Linked DNA regions of Rattus norvegicus. The protein of the gene in region 1 interacts with the protein of each later gene in a biochemical or structural test. Links are inferred from orthologs where the notes say so. Each region holds a gene or a part of one and is shown in the gene's direction. Other genes may lie near its edges.

Evidence for each region.
Region 2: the proteins of Gsk3b (region 1) and Muc1 form a complex in vitro, tested with the Homo sapiens proteins (2 studies listed by BioGRID). The link is inferred for Rattus norvegicus from reciprocal best matches to the Homo sapiens genes GSK3B and MUC1.
Region 3: of the proteins of Gsk3b (region 1) and Nin, one has a biochemical effect on the other in vitro, tested with the Homo sapiens proteins (2 studies listed by BioGRID and IntAct). The link is inferred for Rattus norvegicus from reciprocal best matches to the Homo sapiens genes GSK3B and NIN.

What each region holds. Positions count from the first base shown.
Region 1 is NC_086029.1:76,150,035-76,155,830, reverse strand, and holds the start of Gsk3b (glycogen synthase kinase-3 beta), read left to right. Parts: upstream 1-2,581; 5' UTR 2,582-2,720; coding exon 2,721-2,808; intron 2,809-5,796. UniProt on the Homo sapiens protein: Constitutively active protein kinase that acts as a negative regulator in the hormonal control of glucose homeostasis, Wnt signaling and regulation of transcription factors and microtubules, by phosphorylating and inactivating glycogen synthase (GYS1 or GYS2), EIF2B, CTNNB1/beta-catenin, APC, AXIN1, DPYSL2/CRMP2, JUN, NFATC1/NFATC, MAPT/TAU and MACF1.
Region 2 is NC_086020.1:176,931,414-176,937,209, forward strand, and holds the start of Muc1 (mucin-1 precursor), read left to right. Parts: upstream 1-2,336; 5' UTR 2,337-2,397; coding exon 2,398-2,455; intron 2,456-3,225; coding exon 3,226-4,601; intron 4,602-4,700; coding exon 4,701-4,753; intron 4,754-4,894; coding exon 4,895-5,028; intron 5,029-5,138; coding exon 5,139-5,260; intron 5,261-5,336; coding exon 5,337-5,486; coding exon of another isoform or gene 5,487-5,699; exon of another isoform or gene 5,700-5,796. UniProt on the Homo sapiens protein: The alpha subunit has cell adhesive properties. Can act both as an adhesion and an anti-adhesion protein. May provide a protective layer on epithelial cells against bacterial and enzyme attack.
Region 3 is NC_086024.1:94,359,751-94,365,546, reverse strand, and holds the start of Nin (ninein), read left to right. Parts: upstream 1-1,936; 5' UTR 1,937-2,045; intron 2,046-2,421; 5' UTR 2,422-2,468; exon of another isoform or gene 2,469-2,833; intron 2,834-5,796. UniProt on the Homo sapiens protein: Centrosomal protein required in the positioning and anchorage of the microtubule minus-end in epithelial cells. May also act as a centrosome maturation factor.

The sequences.
Region 1 (5,796 bases):
CTCTATAGACATCTGAGTCTGCAAACACTATCCAGACCTTTACTGTCTCCCTTCAAAGCTTACTTTGTTCTGCCCCAAGCCTCTCATCAGATTTTAAAGCAATAGCTAGGTAATCTGATCAAGTACGTGTACTTTTACATGTGCTTTCTGGAGATAGCATCTCAACAGAAAGAGATGACTATGCGGGTGGATACTACAAGTATCACGGGATTACAGACAGGATTGCCAGTGTCCACTCTAATTTACTCTCGTCATAGTAGCCACGCTACCCAGCTCTCGGATGGACGGACCAAGGCAATGGTCTCCTTTGTAGAACAATGGACGCTTGACTACACGTGAAACCTACTTGAGCAGCAGTGTGCATATCACCCGAAACACTAAAAACTGCTACGAGCAATTCTGACTTGAGCTTCCTTGTAGGCTTCAGGGTATCGGCCTGACCACATTTCCCCTCACCTGTTTTCGGGGTTGCTTTTGCGCTGTACAGTCGCGCCCAAAGAACGCGCGCATCTAGCATGAGCTCATCTTTCGGGGGCGTTTCCAGAAGGCCAGACCTGGCAGTGTGCGCCTGCTGCAAAGGGCTCCCCCCACCCCCACGATATCAGCGGCCCCCCGCGACGGGCGGGCGCGGCTGCCCAGAGGCGCTCCCTCTCTGGAAGCTTTGTTTCCATTTGAGTGCCTACGTCTTTCAGGGAAGACGTTCCCATATCCTTAGCTCGCGCGGTGGGGAGCCTCGGGCGCACTCGGTAAGCTGCGCCCCGCGGAGCTCCCGGGAATGGGGACAACCTCTCGTCCCACTAGAGCGCTCGCGGCTCGGCCCTCCGACCGCCAGCATTTTCAGACCGGCTGCACAGCCAGCACGAGCGTCGGGTCGGAGAGCAGACGCAGGCCGACCACTCAGCCGGTCCGCCCGCTCTAGGGACCACCCGAGGCCAATCCCACTGCAGCTAGGTCTTGCGATTACACAGCAGTGGTCGCCCATTGGCCGCCGCCACGGGCTCCTACACCCTCCTTCTCCCTTTTGCGGCTCCCCTCCCCCGCGCTACAGCTCCGATGCTGCAGACCAATGAGATGGCACTTTATAGATGCACTCCCTCCGCTTTCGTCTTCTCCCCGCCTCAAAGAGGGAGGGGAGGCTCTGACTGGCCAGATGTCCTCGGAAGCCCCCTTCCCTTCACCAATCACTGAGAAAAGAACACGCCCGGTGGAGTTGTCCAGCCAATGAGGAAACGGGCGCGGTGCCCAGCCGAGTAGTTCCTCCCGCGACTCGGGAGTTTCGCTGTCCTTAACTCTTCAGGCTTCCCCCTGCGGGCCTAGAGCTCCGATTGGCCACTGTCGCTATTGTCGAATCTTTTCTCCAGCCAGCCACAGAACAAGGCGAACCCTCTTTCCCTCTTTTCGGCTACCTTCGGCATTCCTCGTTGCCGGGGCGTGGTCTCCCAGCGGCGTCTCCTCATTGGTTATTTAGGCCGCTCGGCTTTTTCCGGCCGGAGCTGCAAGCAAACGACGTCTTTGATTGGTTCCAGCTTAGGTTTCGGCTCCACAGCCGAAGCTGGCGGGCGCGGGCTCGGCGAGCGATTCCCAGACGCCTGTTACGCGGGCGGCGGGGCGCTGGGCGGTGTAAGGCTGGGTGGGGGAGGAAGGAGGCGGAGGACGAGTAGGAAGGGGGAGGGGGGAGTGGGGAAGGGCTAGGCGACTGCGCAGACGGCGCGCCTCGCACAGAGCAGCCCCCGACCCGGCCGAATGCGGGCTTGTGTCGCCGCCGTCGCCGCCGCCTGGGCCGAGTGACAAAGGAAGGAAGGCAGCGAGGAGGAGCCGTCCCTGCAGCCGCTGACAGGGCTTCGGGCTCGGGGCACAGCGCGGACACTTCCCGAGCAGCCGCTCAGCAGAGGCGAGGGGCGGAGGCCGGCCGTGCCGGGGCCGCGGACGGGGGAGGGGACCCCGAGGGACGGAAGCGGTTGCCTGGTTCCCATGTCCCCGGCGTATGGGGAGCAGTCAGGGAGCCGCTGCCTGGGGTCTGAAGGGAGCTGCCTCCGCCGCCGCTGCCGCCATGGCCGCTGGATCCAGCCACCGCCTGCAGCTGCTCCTGGCGCAATGAGGAGAGGAGCCGCCGCCGCCACCGCCCGCCACTGACTCGCGACTGCGCTGCCCTCCGATTCACCCGGCCGCCGCCGCCGTCAGACCGCCGGATCCCTCTGCTGCCGGAGCCGCAGCGTTTGCCGTCGCATCTCCGAGCCATCTCCTCCCTCCTTCCCATCCCCCTTCTCTTCAAGCGTGAGGCTCGTGATCCTTCCGCCGCTTCCCTTCTTCATTGACTCGGAAAAAAATCCCCGAGGAAAATATAATACTCAGAGTACTTATTTTCAATCAAGTATTTGCCCTCGTTCACGTGATATATATATATTTTTTAAGGATTCCACTCCACCCTTTTTCTCCTCTCCCAGGAAAGGGAGGTGAAAGAATTATATTTTCCCCCCAGCTCTAAATCATCTATGTGTTAAATATCCGTACCGATCTGTCTTGAAGAAATACATAGCTCCTTTTTTTTTTCTTCTTAAATAGCTATACAAAAGGAGTGAAAGGCCAAGAGAACGAAGTCTTTTTTTTTTTTTTCTTGCGGGAGAACTTAATGCTGCATTTATTATTAACCTAGTACCCTAACATAAAACAAAAGGAAGAAAAGGATTAAGGAAGGAAAAGGTGAATCGAGAAGAGCCATCATGTCGGGGCGACCGAGAACCACCTCCTTTGCGGAGAGCTGCAAGCCAGTGCAGCAGCCTTCAGCTTTTGGTAGCATGAAAGTTAGCAGTGAGTATCGATTTTATTTTACACCCTTTCTCCACCTCACCATTAAGATAAGAAACCTCGAAATACCAGGATCTAAACTAACAGACCTGATAGAACAGTCAGTCAGCCAGTGGTAGTGGAAAAGGGCAAAACCTGTCTTGACTCAAGATGAGGCAGCTCCTTTTTCTCCTCCCATACCCATACCCCCCTCCCCCAGCCTCATTAACCTTGAATTGAGAGAATATTAGTTTTATTTGGCTGATTGGATTCGAAACTTATTTTCTTACGTTCTCCGTGCTGTTGGTAGTCAGTCTTTTCAAGTGCCCCAGTGCCTCCGGGTTAAGCGGTGGAAGCTTTCGCTTGCCCATCCCTTTGAATAAAGAGGACAACGCTTGATTAATAAACCATGATGTACATTTGCCGAGTCCGTGTCTTCTGGAATGAGGGGGTTTATTTTAGTTAGCTCAGGTTATCACGGGTCTGCATTCTAAATAGAGATACTAAATGCCCCAGCCTCCTAATATTTCCTTTTTGCCTGTGTGACTACACAAAGTATTTTTGAATCTGGGGAGGAACTTGCTTGGTAACCCACATTCCCGTTGGAGGCGAGCTAGTATCCATCCCTCACTCTTCTCCGGGCTGGTGGGAGCTGAGAAATATCCCGCAGCAGATGCATCTCTGAGTGCATTGTTTTTAATTTTTAAGTGGTTTAATGTGTTATCTCTTAACCTTCCTGTTTTGACATTACCAATCTGCCACCATATAATTTGTGTAATCAAAAGGTAACTTGGAGATTCAACTTTTGATTGAGGTTGTATTGCCATATTGCCAAATACTAAGTTAAGTGTTGTCACTGACTGTCATTTAAGTTTAATTTTGAAGTGGTGTTGCATTTATTACTTGTTAATTTTTTTTTTAAAGAGTACAAGTGGATACCTTTTTAGGCTGATTTAAAATGTATCTATGAGTATCTGTCAGTCTTTTGCTGGGGAATCTGTGCTGAAAAAAAAAAAAAGTCTGTGTTCTTGAAGTGTTTGGTATACCGAGTATCCAGTGTTCAAATGTATCTATTTGTGGAGATGTTTATGTGGTATTTCATGACAGCTTATTAGAACATAGTTGCAGATTCTGGCCAAAATATCTATGGTATTTTCCTTATTCCTTGAGAAAGAAGAGGGAGGAGATAGATAAAACTGTTTTGTGGCTGAGAGGAGCTGCTGTAACTGAAGAACTAAGATTTTTAAAAAGTTAAAATGCATGTGCTGTTATGTGCAATTGATTAAGCAACTGGGAGTGAGGAATCCTCCAGTTGCACGCAGGATTGTTATGTGCAATTGATTAAGCAACTGGGAGTGAGGAATCCTCCAGCTGCATGCAGGATTGCAGTTCTGTAGGCTTTTGGACCTTGTCTGGAACAGAGAAGTCCAAAGTTGTATCCAGAGCGATAGCTGAGTGGGAGAGATTTTTGCAAGTTAACTTTTTTCTTTCCTTCAGTGAGTGACTAGCCAATTTAGAACGCAGGGCATGTTAAGAGGGAAGCTGATTTCACATCTTTCAGGGAAGGGTCATGCTTTCTAAGCACTTTATGGAGTCATTTGAAAGGAATTTTAAAAAATGCTAGGGTCATTTTCAGTGATGATGAAGTAGACTTCATGGTAACTACTGAAGAGCCTTTCATGGTACTTCAGTATTTGTGCTTTGACTAGTTTAAAAAAAAAAAAAACCCAGTCAATTTTAGACCATTTATGAGGTTTATTTCAGAGATCTGTAATGCCAGACTAAAATACCAAAGTTGGGAATTTCTCTTCTTGTTTCCAGGATTTTCTTTGAAAACAACTTAGCCTTGATAGAGTTTCTTTAGGGTGGAGGAAATCCCAGAGGAATATAGTTTAAAGTGTTTTAATTTTATATTTACCATATCAGTCAACATTAAAAAGATGCTAATTATTACTATTTTTTTTTTAAAAATAACCTTGATATTAAGGACACATAGATGAAAGAGGAATTTGTTAGGGTGCTGGTGTTCAAAAAGGCATGTATGACATTAAGTCCTTGTTCCCAGAGCCTCTGATGTAAAGGCATACACATTCAGAAAAGGGCGAAGGCGATAAGCCTGATAACCGCAGTATTATAAAACGCCAAGTGAACCATTTGTTCAGAGGGACACAGGAAAAGGGTGATGAGGAAGGAGCAGGGAGGTTTCCGCAGAGGTGCTTCTTAAAACAGGTGCTGGCTAAGTCCATGAGCCTGTGGAGACACAAGCAGTGCACTGGGTAGAAGGCAGGCCCAGCCAGTCTGTTCTGTATGGGAGGTAAGGTGGTATATCTCAATTACCCCAGCCTACACGGGAGAACCGGGACGTGGGAGCTGAGGCTTAGAGGAAAGTAAGTTAATAAAGGGCAGAAAAGGCCTGTAGGTTCGGGTGGGGATCTAGGAGCTATCTGTCTGCACTAACTGTGCATTGCTGAACAAGACGTTCTGAAGGGATTTGGATAGCTGAAGGGAGAGACATTAGAAGCCTTTTGGGAGATAGTAGACTATGTTAGAGATCACAGTGAAATGTGAACATGGGATGAAAGGAAGAGATTTGAGGACTCATGAGGGAAAAGCTGGCAGGGCTTTGGATTGGACTGAAGGAGAATATTTGTGGAGTCAGGAGTTAAAAATAAAGTCTGAGGTTATTGGTCTGGAAGACTTGACCGCTGGGTTACATTGTTCATTGTAATGGGAAATTGAGAAAATGCTGAGACGAGAGGGCGGATGAGTTCAGTTTTTAAAAATGGCATACAATAAGTGTCTGGCGGTCGGTTACTAGCAGAGCTTAACTTTCTAGTCTGTTAATTTCTAATCCTCACCTAGAAATGCCAGGTTGTATTTGAGGACAGTAACTAGAGGTTATACTTAAACACATATTTTGTTTTGTTTTGAGACAGGGTTTTTCTCTGTGTAGCCCTGGCTGTTCTGGTACTTACTTGCTATGTAGACCTGCCTAGCCTTGAATTAACAGAT
Region 2 (5,796 bases), on another chromosome or scaffold:
GGGGGAGTGCTGTTAAGAAAGACTGGTAGCTGCAGGTTAGAATGCTAGGGAAAGTTTGACTGAATCGAGGTATGGGTGGGAAAAGTACCAAATGAAGGATGAGGTTGGAGGGTGGCTAAAGTCCTTCCAGCCCCACTTACTCACCGTGGTAGTGGCGACACTTCAGTCTAAGCTCGGTAGAGATCGAAAGCCCGGTGGCTGGGGCTGCCCCACTCTGAGTGAGGGGGCGCCGGGGGGGCCGAGGGGGCCGGAGGCCGGGACGAGTGCAATATTGGCAGGGGAAAGAACAACACTGCACCGCGTCCCGTCCCTCCTGCCCACCCGGGGCTCTGGAATCCCGCTCCCTACCTCCTGGGTCGCTGGAGCCCAGGGACAGGAGTGCTCTGGGGAGTTTGGGTCACCTTAGAGGTGCACCAGAGCCTGGACACCCAGGAGAGTGAGGTGGCGAGAGGGAAAGGATGAGGAGGGAAGGGGAGCTTCTGGTGCCCCGGAAGGCCACTTTCCAACGCCAAAGCTGTGCGCGCCCTTGCTCTTTAAATACTCAGACTGAGAGGCGCGGAGCCATTGCCATGGTGACTGGTGTCCCAGCAACCGAATTGAATGGCTGTTGCCTGGCAATCCTGGGAGTTGGGGTTTGGTGCCGCCCACCTAAATACTTGTGGGCGAGCTGACGTAGGGCGTCCCCACTCCGCCTGGAGCTGGCCTGACAAAGCCGCTCACAGGCGGGACACACGGCGGGAGCGTGGGACCCACGCCTCCGTTCATGCACCTCCGAAATGTTTTTAAAGTATTAGTTTCGGTTTTGTATTGGTTGGAACTAAGAACTGTTTGCCTACTACAGTTGTAACTGCTCCTGCTGGTTTACACCGCAACCTACGCTTGCGGGATCTGGCCTGGTATCCTCAGTCCGAGTGCTGCTGTGAACCCAAACCCAACTATTTCTGCCCTTCAGAATACCTCTCGGTTCTCCCTAAACACACACACACACACACACACACACACACACACACACACACACACACGGGTTTGCCTTGTTCCACGTGCTTGTTCACCCAAACCCAACTATTTCTGCCCGTCAGAATACCTCTCGGTTCTCCCTAAACACACACACACACACACACACACACACACACACACACACACACACACACACACACACACACACACACGGGTTTGCCTTGTTCCACGTGCTTGTTCGCCCCAAATATTGTTCCTCTTCCAGATACATCTCGAAGTTCCCAAGTTCCACGATCGCCCCACCTACTCTTTGCCTCCTGAATATCTAGCTACCTGTACATAACCTGTCCCGTCCCCCTTTGCCAATTCAGTGTCATCACACAACTCGATACCCCCTTCCACATACCTTGGGGCTCCAACCACTTATCCCCTGTCCCCAAACACCATCCCCAGAAGTCAGAGTAACCCAAGTAATGATCCCTGCTTCTTCCCGACACTGTGCATTTTTATCTGTCGAAGGCGTTGATTCTTTCCGCCAAGACACAACTAACTTCCCTAAGATATGTGCCTCAACTTGGGCTGTGCTTCCAAAACCTCCCTACACAGAAGCAACCCTTCAGCCTGTGCGAGTACGCCGCGCGACGCTCGCGGTGACCACTAGAGGGCAGGCGTTTCCGGGTAGAAGGACTGGTCAGCCTGCCACTCAAGGTGGAGGGTTGAGTAGGAAGGACCTTAGGCTTCAGTGGAGCCTGGAGTTTCGTCCTTTTTAAGTGGAAATTTCCCCCATCGCCTTTCTCCGGAGAAAGTCAAAGAGAGACCCAGGCTACTGGAAAGTCTGGCAGGGGCGGGGACTGTGGTTTTCAGAGTACAGGGAGCGGTTAGAAGGGTGGGGCTGTTCCGGGAAGTGGCGGGGGGGGGGGGCGCTAAAACTAGCGACCTGTCCACTATTATCCCCCTTATGTCCTCTCAACTTATGAGAAGTGGTTTTTAAGGATCCTCAGAGAGAATAGGAAAAGGGATCGGGGAGGGGGAGCGGGAAACGGGCTTCCCTTGTTGTCCAGGGTCTTTCTGTGTTTCCCTTACTCTTCTTGGCTGTTGCTCTGGGACTAAAACCAGAGCCAGGGCCCCCAGATTTCCTCCACATACACACCTGGGGTACTCAAAGAGTGGTTGGTAAAAGTGGGAGGCCAAATGGAGAATAAACAGGTTGTCATATGGTTGAGTGATTGGAGCCCAAGTACCCTACACAGGAATGACTGGGGAGGAGGAGGAAAGAATAGGGGAGGGGGTGGAGTTTTGTTACCTGTCACCTGCTCTGACTGTGCCTAGGGCGGGAGGGGGACTGGTATAAAGCAGCAGGCACCAGCCCTGTTCCAGCGCACACACGCAGCGCCAGCCTTGAGTCTGTTTCTACCCCTTTCCCGCCTGTTCACCACCACCATGACCCCGGGCATACGGGTTCCTCTCCTCCTGCTGCTACTTCTAGCAAGCCTAAAAGGTGAGAGGTACAAGGTGGGGAGGGGCTGCACTGTTCAGGTGGGACTCAGTCTTTCTGGCACAATGAGAGTCATAAGTGGCCATCCACTCAGGGATGGCCCAGTATGTGCCGGAGGGAAAGAGGCTAAGGAAGGAGGCTGAGAAGAGGTGACTCCCCCAAGAGAGTGGGCACCAGAGTAGGCAAATGCTCTTCGTGGGGAGTAGAGAAGAGAGGCTGCGTCAGGAGAAGCAGCTCCAGCTCCGGAGTGGAAGAATGGGGCCGTGTGGTTCCAGTCTACAATTCCCACACTCAGGACACTCGGGTTCACAGAGAGTTCAAGGCCAGCCTAGGGTACAGTATGAATACCTGTCTCAGAGATAAGCAGTAGAGGAGTGAATGAGCCAGAAGCAGAGGTGAGACCTTTGAGGAGGGAGGCTGTCAGGAAGGATGAAGGCAAACGTAGGACTACCTGATGTTAACCTGACCCCCCTTCCTTCCGGGGTTACTTTGGTTTCGGAGTTTATATTTTTCTTCTTGCTCTGATTTTATTCATTAACCCAGTAGGTTTCCCCCCCCCCTTTTTTTTTTAAACTCTGGCTCTAGCCAGAACTAAAACATCACACATGCTATCTAAAGCAACCCAGTGTCCAACTCTGTTGATTGGTGCTGTGAGCATGAAACCCCCTCATCTTCCACTCTGGCTCAGGTTTTCCTGCCCTTCCAAGTCAGAAAAATAGTGTCACCTTATCTCAGGACACCAGCAGTTTCCTTAACATCGACTATCACTCCAGTCCGCAGTGGTGCCTCCTCCTCAACCACCAGCCTTCCAGGGGACTCCTTCAGCACTGCAGTCCCCAGTGGTGCCTCTTCCTCAGCCACCAGCCCTCCAGTGGACTCCACCACCTCTCCAGTTCATAGTAGCACCTCGTTCCCAGCCACCAGCCCTCCAGGAGACTCCACCAGCACTGCAGTCCTCAGTGGTGACTCAGATCCAGCCACCAGCCCTCCAGGGGACTCCTCCAGCACTGCAGTCCCCAATGGTGCCTCTTCCTCAGCCACCAGCCCTCCAGTGGACTCCACCACCTCCCCAGTTCATAGTAGCACCTCGTTCCCAGCCACCAGCTCTCCAGGGGACTCCACCAGCACTGCAGTCACCAGTGGCACCTCTTCCTCAGCCACCAGCCCTCCAGAGGACTCCTCCAGCACTGCAGTCACCAGTGGCACCTCGTCCCCAGCCACCAGCCCTCCAGGGGACTCCTCCAGCACTGCAGTCACCAGTGGCACCTCGTCCCCAGCCACCAGCCCTATATTGGACTCCTCCAGCACTGCAGTCCTCAGTGGCACCTCGTCCCCAGCCACCAGCCCTCCAGAGGACTCCACCAGCACTGCAGTCACCAGTGGCACCTCGTCCCCAGCCACCAGCCCTCCAGAGGACTCCACCAGCACTGCAGTCACCAGTGGCACCTCGTCCCCAGCCACCAGCCCTATATTGGACTCCTCCAGCACTGCAATCCACAGTGGCACCTCGTCCCCAGCCACCAGCCCTCCAGGGGACTCCTCCAGCACTGCAGTCCTCAGCGGTGCTTCCACCCAAACCACCAAGGCTGTATCAGACTTAGCTAGCACTCCAACCCACAATGGCATCATGGTCCCAACTACCTGGTCTGCATTGAGCTCAGCCACCAGTCCGGTGTACAGTGGTTCCTCAGCTACAACTAATAGCTCTGAATCAGACATGGCCACCACTCCAGTGTACAGTGGCACCCCATTCTCTTCTACCACGGCTACGTCAGCTATCACCCCAGACCACAATGGCTCCTTGGTGCGAACTACCAGTTCTGTGTTGGGCTTAGCCACCAGTCCAGCCCATGATACCTCTGCGGTGGCCACAACTCCAGTCCGCAATGACACTCAGTCTTCAGTTCCAAGTCAGCAGCCCATCTCTCCCACCATCCCCGCCATCTCCAGCCACAGTACTGTTAGCAGCAGCTCTTACTACAGCACAGCGGTCTTCCCTACCTTCTCCAGTAACAGCTCACCCCAGTTGTCTGTCGGGGTCTCCTTCTTCTCGTTGTCTTTTTACATTCGGAACCACCCATTTAATTCTTCCCTGGAAGACCCCAGCTCCCGCTACTACCAAGAACTGAAGAGGAACATTTCCGGATTGGTGGGTATCAGCCTGGTCTCGGCCATGCTGCCCTGATATAGCTCTTCGGGACCACACGAATCTTTTACATCAAACCCGAGTCTTCTCCTCCTATCCCAGTTTCTGCAGGTTTTTAACGGAGACTTTCTGGGGGTCTCTACTATCAAGTTCAGGTATAATTCTGGATTTGCCCTGTGGGAGGGATGGACAGTCCCGCAACTTTGTGATGTCCGGGATGGGGGTGTGGCGGGTGGGGTGGGGATGCTGAGCTATAAGCAGAGAGTCGATCTGAGCCCCCTATTTCCTGCGACCAGGTCAGGCTCGGTGGTGGTAGCATCGACTGTGATTTTCCGGGAGGGCACTTTCAGTGCCTCTGAAGTGAAGTCACAGCTCGTACAACATAAGAAGGAGGCAGCTGACTATAATCTGACTATCTCGGAAGTCAATGGTGAGGTGACAGCCCCAGCTGCACCCTGGCACCACCTGTTTACCTTTGGTGCTGGGAGTGGGAAATCCACCTCCTTTGGGGACTTCCCTGACCACTGTTTTCCCTTCTAGTGAATGAGATGCAGTTCCCTTCCTCTGCCCAGTCTTGGCCTGGGGTACCAGGTTGGGGCATTGCCCTGCTGGTACTGGTCTGTATTTTGGTGGCTTTGGTCATCGTCTATCTCATTGCCCTGGTAAGTCTCAGTCCTTCTGCGGTGTCACCCCTGGTAAATGAATCCCATTGGCCAAGACAATCCCCTGTCTCCCCAGGCATTGTGCCAGTGCCGCAGAAAGAGCTATGGGCAGCTGGACCTCTTTCCAACCCGGGACACCTACCATCCTATGAGTGAATATCCTACCTACCACACTCACGGACGCTATGTGCCCCCTGCCACTACCAAACGTAGCCCCTATGAAGAGGTAAAGTATGTCCCGCAGGTTGGGGCAGCGACCTGGACTGGGTGGGGGCTTCTGAAGGGGTACTTGGGAAACCGGAGGAGCTCCAGAGAGGTGAGCAGTAGAAGGCCCAGCACGGTTGGGAATGGAGGCAGAATCCTGGGGGTCAGGCAGAAAAGGCTCCTTGGGAGACTACAGAAAAAAAAAGAAATGTCTGCCCTGGGGTTGGGGATTTAGCTCAGTGGTAGAGCGCTTACCTAGGAAGTGCAAGGCCCTGGGTTCTGTCCCCAGCTCCGAAAAAAAGAACCAAAAAAAAAAAAAAAAAAAGAAAGAA
Region 3 (5,796 bases), on another chromosome or scaffold:
AGAAAGAAAATAGAAAGATTTTGGCTTAGACGTGCTCTCACCAACCCTGTACCACCCAGCAGCGCCCAACAGCAAACTGCCTGGCTCCCTGCTCTTCTCTCCTCTGTGGCAAGGCTGGAGGCAATCCCAGCACTAACTCCACCCTTCCCATCCTTTCAAAAAATCAGTTTTGTGTTTTTCTAGTTACACCATCCCTAGCAATCTGTGCTTCCTCCACAAGTAGTGAAATTGCATCCAACATCCCTTGCCCGAGGATCACGGCTTCGAACCACCATCTCATCCTCAAGGATTCTTGGTGGTTAAAGAAGCGCACGGAGGGAGAACCAGCATGGCGGATCTGACATGGCCGAATCTAGGCAGCACAAGGAAGCTGCTTCCTCACCCTTCCCCTCAGAGGCTGTCGGTGGTTTGAGTGCCCACCGATCGTCATTCTCTTGTTCATGACATCTCTGTGAGTATCCTGGTAGAGGGTTGATGAATGGTGTGATACTGAGTAGCTGTGCTTACAGTTTGTACGTTTCTGTGTGCTAGAAGGGGAGCTAGAAGGAAAAATGCCTCTTTCTTATTCTCCCAGATGCTCTGTATTGGAGAAAGGTTTGGATTTTTTTTTTTTAAAAATAACTGGCTTTGATATTTGATATTTTGAGATAACTGGATTCCCGTAAGTTGTAAGAAACAATATGGAGAGACCCTCTACATGTTTTATTTGGTTTTCTCACTCTGCAGAACTATAGCACAGTACAAGCAGAAAATAATAAACCAGGCCTGGGTCGGCTGGGGTCCCCAGGAAAATCTCTTTCACTAGTTCTGCTTTGCGAGCACTACATTCTAGGCAGTTTTGACACATATGCGATGTTCTTCTGAATCTTAGTCTGTGAAGGGCTTTCTGTGTGATGCTCTGGCTTCCGGGCCTTCCAGCTTCCTGCTTTCGAAACGCTATGGTGTCCACCTCCTCAGGGAGATTGTCACCGAGAGGTCACATCTGTTGGCTTCAGGAGCCTGAACTTGCCAGTTTCCTTTCTGTCGCCTACAACTCTCGGTGGCAAGAGGACTTTGTCCAGGTTCTTGTGGAAATAACTTATGGATATAATAAATCAAGACAGATCCTTCCTTCCACAAGGACTACGCATGGATCCTGCAAAGATGTTGCCTCGGGGCCCATAGCTCCCTCCACCTCTAGCCTGGATTTGAGATCCTGTTTGACTACTTGGTTTTAGGAAGCATAGGGAAGGGGAGAGCACTGAGATTTTGTTAGCACCTTTTTTAGTGAGGGTAGCATGTAGAGGAGGCTTGGGAGACAAAGGCAGGATGGGGACCCACCCACCAACCTTGATGGCAGAAGGACCACCAATTCCAATGACATTCTGCTTTGTGCGGCTGTCACAGAGGGTTAACTGCACCCTCTGAAGTTTATACACGGGGCAAGGCACCTATGAGAACGAGGCTTCTAGAAAAGGTGGAACGTCCAGAGCGCTCAATGCTCTATAGGGTCCACTGCTCTTCCGGGCCCTTTCCCATGACTTTCAAAGGGTTCTCTAGAGCTGGGAAAACCAGGGTGACCTGCAGGTGACAGAGGTACCCAAACCTCCACTTAAGGTCAATCAAGCTGGGGTCTTCACTCTTCAGAAACGTTGTGGGTCCTGTGCCAAGCGCCAGGTGCTAGGTGCCTCTGAGAGGAAACGGAGGTGGTGGGCAAGGGACCGCTGGTGAGCCGAGGCGACCTCTGGGTGCAGGACGATCACGCCGAGCCAGGGCGTTCCCAAATTCAAATCTCTCTGGCGGGGGCTCGCACCCGCCGACTCTCTGCGGCTACCCGCTCCTCCCTCGGCTGCGGCGGGAGGAGGAGCCGCGCCCTGGCCGGCGTCCCCTTGACTCCTCCCTGCGCGGCCAGGCTCTTCCTCCCCCGCGGCCCGATCTCCGGGTGGCAGCGGCTGAGCCGGGAGCGAGCGCGCTGGGCGCGGCCGTCCCGTGCCGCCGGGCCAAGCCTGAGAGTCCCGCGGTCATGGTCTGTGCGGTGGCGCGGGGCGCCTAAACCCCAGGACGCGGTAAGCTACAAGCTGGGGAGCCACGGGGGTCACGCGGCCTGGGAGAGCGAAGAGGCCTCGGCTGCCAATGCGCCGTCTACGAGGCACCCCGAGCGCCCTGAGCGGCGCAAGCCCGCAGATCCCGGTCCAGCACGCGGTGGCGGCCCCGGAGGGGCTCTGTCGCCAGCGGGTGGCGGCGGCGGGGGGGGAGGGGCGACGGCGGGGGCGGAGGATGCGCCGGCGCGCTTTTGTAAGTGCTGGCCCCTTACATATGGAAATGACGCCGGCGCGGGTCCCTAGTCGCGTCCTCTGGAAGGACGCGTGCCCGGATCGGCGGCGCGGGCTGCTCGGTGTCGCGGCGCTCGCGGGGCCCTAACAAAGCGCCCTTTCCTTGCAGAGCTCCGGAGGCGGCCGGCGTGGGCGCTCCCCAGAGGCCGAAGGAAGGTAGGCGAGGTCGGCGGGGCCGGACCACGGGTCTGGCGAGTGAGCTCTGCGACCCGCGGGTGGACAGGTGGAGTGGGGACGCCGCTCGGGTTGCTAGGAACCTGGGCTGGCCCGCCCTCCCGCCACACCTCCGCCTCCCAGACCTGAGGCGCCCGGAGCTGAAAGCTGCTACTGTGCCTCGCTCTAGCCGCGGGCAGGAGCCGGAGCTAGCAGAAAGGGTTCTTGTTCTGTGGGTCGAGGCCACCCAGGCAGCCCCGAGATCCAGAAGCTGAAGGGGAAGCCTGCGTGGGAAGCCCCTGGGTGCGGATCTGAACCTCTTGGGAGCGCAGAGCTGCTTGGAGTCCTAAAAGTGGAGATTTTAGAAGGTGCGTAGGATCCGTGCAGGTAGAGACTTCTGGGTGCAGCTAGCAGGAAAGGGTGGCAATACATCTTGACAGTTGCTCTGGAAAAAAACTGCGATCTCCAGAGCAGAGGAGTGTGGAATGAAGTGAGGAGAGAGTGTAGGTGGGAGAGAAGTATCCAAGACTCAGGTCTGAACTGCAGTACCACCCCCACTTCCCCTAAAAAGACAACGCTGATGGAAACCAGCCTCCGCTTAGAGCTCTGTGAATTCGAGAGAGATTGGAAAGGATGATGCTCCTAGCCTCAGCCCTGAAGGCGCAAACGAAAGGGGAGCTGGAATCGTGCACTGCCACGGATCGTATCTCCAGACAACTTTATTATGACACGGTCTCATCGTCCCTTACCTGGGACAGACCCTTTCCTGGCGTTACAACTCAACCAAAACAGACTGTGGTTGTGTACATGACTGCCACGGTAGCTCACAGGGTGCTCATCCCAATTAATCTCATAGCACCTGAGCTAGGCTCTTGGGACCATGAACTATTTCTCAGTTGGGCTCGCTCTCATTTATCATCTTGGCATAAATTTAAGTATTTGCATGCTCCCCAAGGCTTAACGAACCCCCAAGGAAATACTTTCCTGGTGCCGATGTAGCTTATTCTAGGGTCTTCTGTTATGGTGAGCGCTGGCTATTAGAGGCTGACCTGGAATATTAGTATGTCTTGCTGTGGAATTGAAAGAAGTTGTGAAACACTCATCAGTAATATCACGGACTGGCTGGAAGAGGAGTTCGTGCCGTCTCTTCGGCTGTGGTTGGTGTTCATAGGGAGGTGATCTGGGCAGGAGGTATTGGCAACCTGCCTACTTTCAAGGCTCTCTGATGTTTTAGAGGGAAGCATTCTGAGCTGTGGTGTTGAGAAAGCAAATGGATTGCCAACGTACAGATGCTGGGGCAAGGAAGAGGAAGCCACCCTCTATGTGGCCCTCTTGTTGAAATGTCATGATCCAGCCATTTTAATGGGTGCTCGCTGAGAATGTCACAAGTTCTTTCTTTCTTATTCCCCTTTCATTTTAGATATGTAGTGGCCCTTCATATCAGAAGATGTTAACTCACAGGACAAGGCTAGGGCTCCACAGAATCCTGAACAGCCAATCTTAATTTAATAGTCAGTGTTCTTATCATGAGTCAAATGTTGTTCACATAAATTGTTTTAAATGTCACTGTAAATGACTTTCCAAACTAACATTTTACCAGTCTTGAGGCTTCCATTTTGGGTTGATAATGAAAATACATTTTATAAGTCTTACCCTGATAGAGGCTTGACAGTTACATCGCAGAGCGATTCAGACAGTCCAAGCCTTTTAGATAGCTACTTTTATAAATGCCAGCTCATTTGTAAGCCAATAAATAATGCAGTTTGAATTCTGGCTATTGATCTCACATCTATTGGCCAAAGTCTTGTGGGGCAGGCTCACTGAACCTCACAATGAAAGATACATTTATCTGATTGTATTTACAAGTAAGATCATTTAAAACGTTATGGAATTATGAGAAACATCATTAGAAATTAGCTCACTTCTTTACTGCCATTTGTATAAGCAATTAGACACATGACTCCACATGGGGAGTGCTCCAAGTGTCGATATCCTGATAGCTCAACACAGTTGGGGAAATATCATCTGTAGATGTGAGAACAGACGTTTTCCACTCAGACCCTAGGAGCTCACATCAGCCATCCTAAATTAATTTATGTAAATACAGCTCAAGAAATGAAAGTTGTTTCAGGCTTTCTTTCTCCCTTTCTTCCTTCCTTCCTTCCTTCCTTCCTTCCTTCCTCCCTTCCTTCCTTCCTTCCTTTCTTGCTTTCTTTCTTAAGTAGCAAACACAAAAATCTGTTTTGTTTTTCGTTTTGTGTATGGCTCCTGTAGTTTTGTAAGTCGTTGAACATAGGTTACTGGATCTGGTGTGCAAAGCTGCTGGCTTTCCTTAGCTGATTAGGTAATTCACCTGCTATTAGGTGTAACAAAAGCTGGATTCACACCAGCCTGCAGGGCAGTAAAATCCTACCGCTTGTTTAGGTTGAGAATAAATACTAGCTGGGTGCCCTTGGCACAATTAAATTTTAGAGTAGGGTTAGCAAAGCGAGCACTCTTCCAAACTCATTTGAATGTGGAGTCTCCCTGTTGGGTGGCATGTAGGGGTTTATATTTTTTTCTCCCTCAGCTCTGTTCCTGCTGGTGCTGTATTGCTTCTGGTTCGCAGCTTGAAGGGAGGAGGTCCTGTTTGAGTTGGGAGGAGGCATTTGGCAGTTTGTGGCAGAGCAGCAAACGGTACCTTGAAGAAATGTTTTTGGTAAAAATTGGGGGGTTGGGGGTGAGCAGGGCATTGCTTATTCTGGAGTTGGTGCTGCACTTGAGTTTCTTCTCCTTGTTATTTCCTTTTACAATTAGTGTAAGAGTAAGCCTGGAGAATTTTGCCGCTGATAAAGAGGCAGGAAAAAAGGGAAGAAAGAGGAACTTAATTTGATCATGGTCCATTATTAGGGTCTAATAAAGGCATAGGAGAGAAAAGCCTAAGCAGGCAGGGTTTGTCTGTGTTCATCGTTGCAGCCCCAAAGTAATGAAATTAGTCACTTGGTGGTCACTGCCTGGGCTCTGGACCCCCAACAGCTGTGTCTGAACACACGTCCGAAAGCATCTATTATCATACTCTCTTGAAAGGGAAGGCTGAGCCTAGAGGGGCACACAGACATTCCGCAGAGCTGTTCAGCTGCTGGGCCATCTGGAAGGGAAATAAAAGGTCTGGGCTGGGGACTCTGGCATTGGGTTTATTAAGTATTTGGTTTGCACTTGCCAGACTTTGTCCCTCTTTTACTCCCTCCAGCCTAGAAGCCCAGAACAGATACCCACCCTGGCTGGGGTTCCAGACTTACAGGCTCCTGGTGTGGGGAAGTTTGCACGTGCACGTCCCACTGACCTGGGGAGC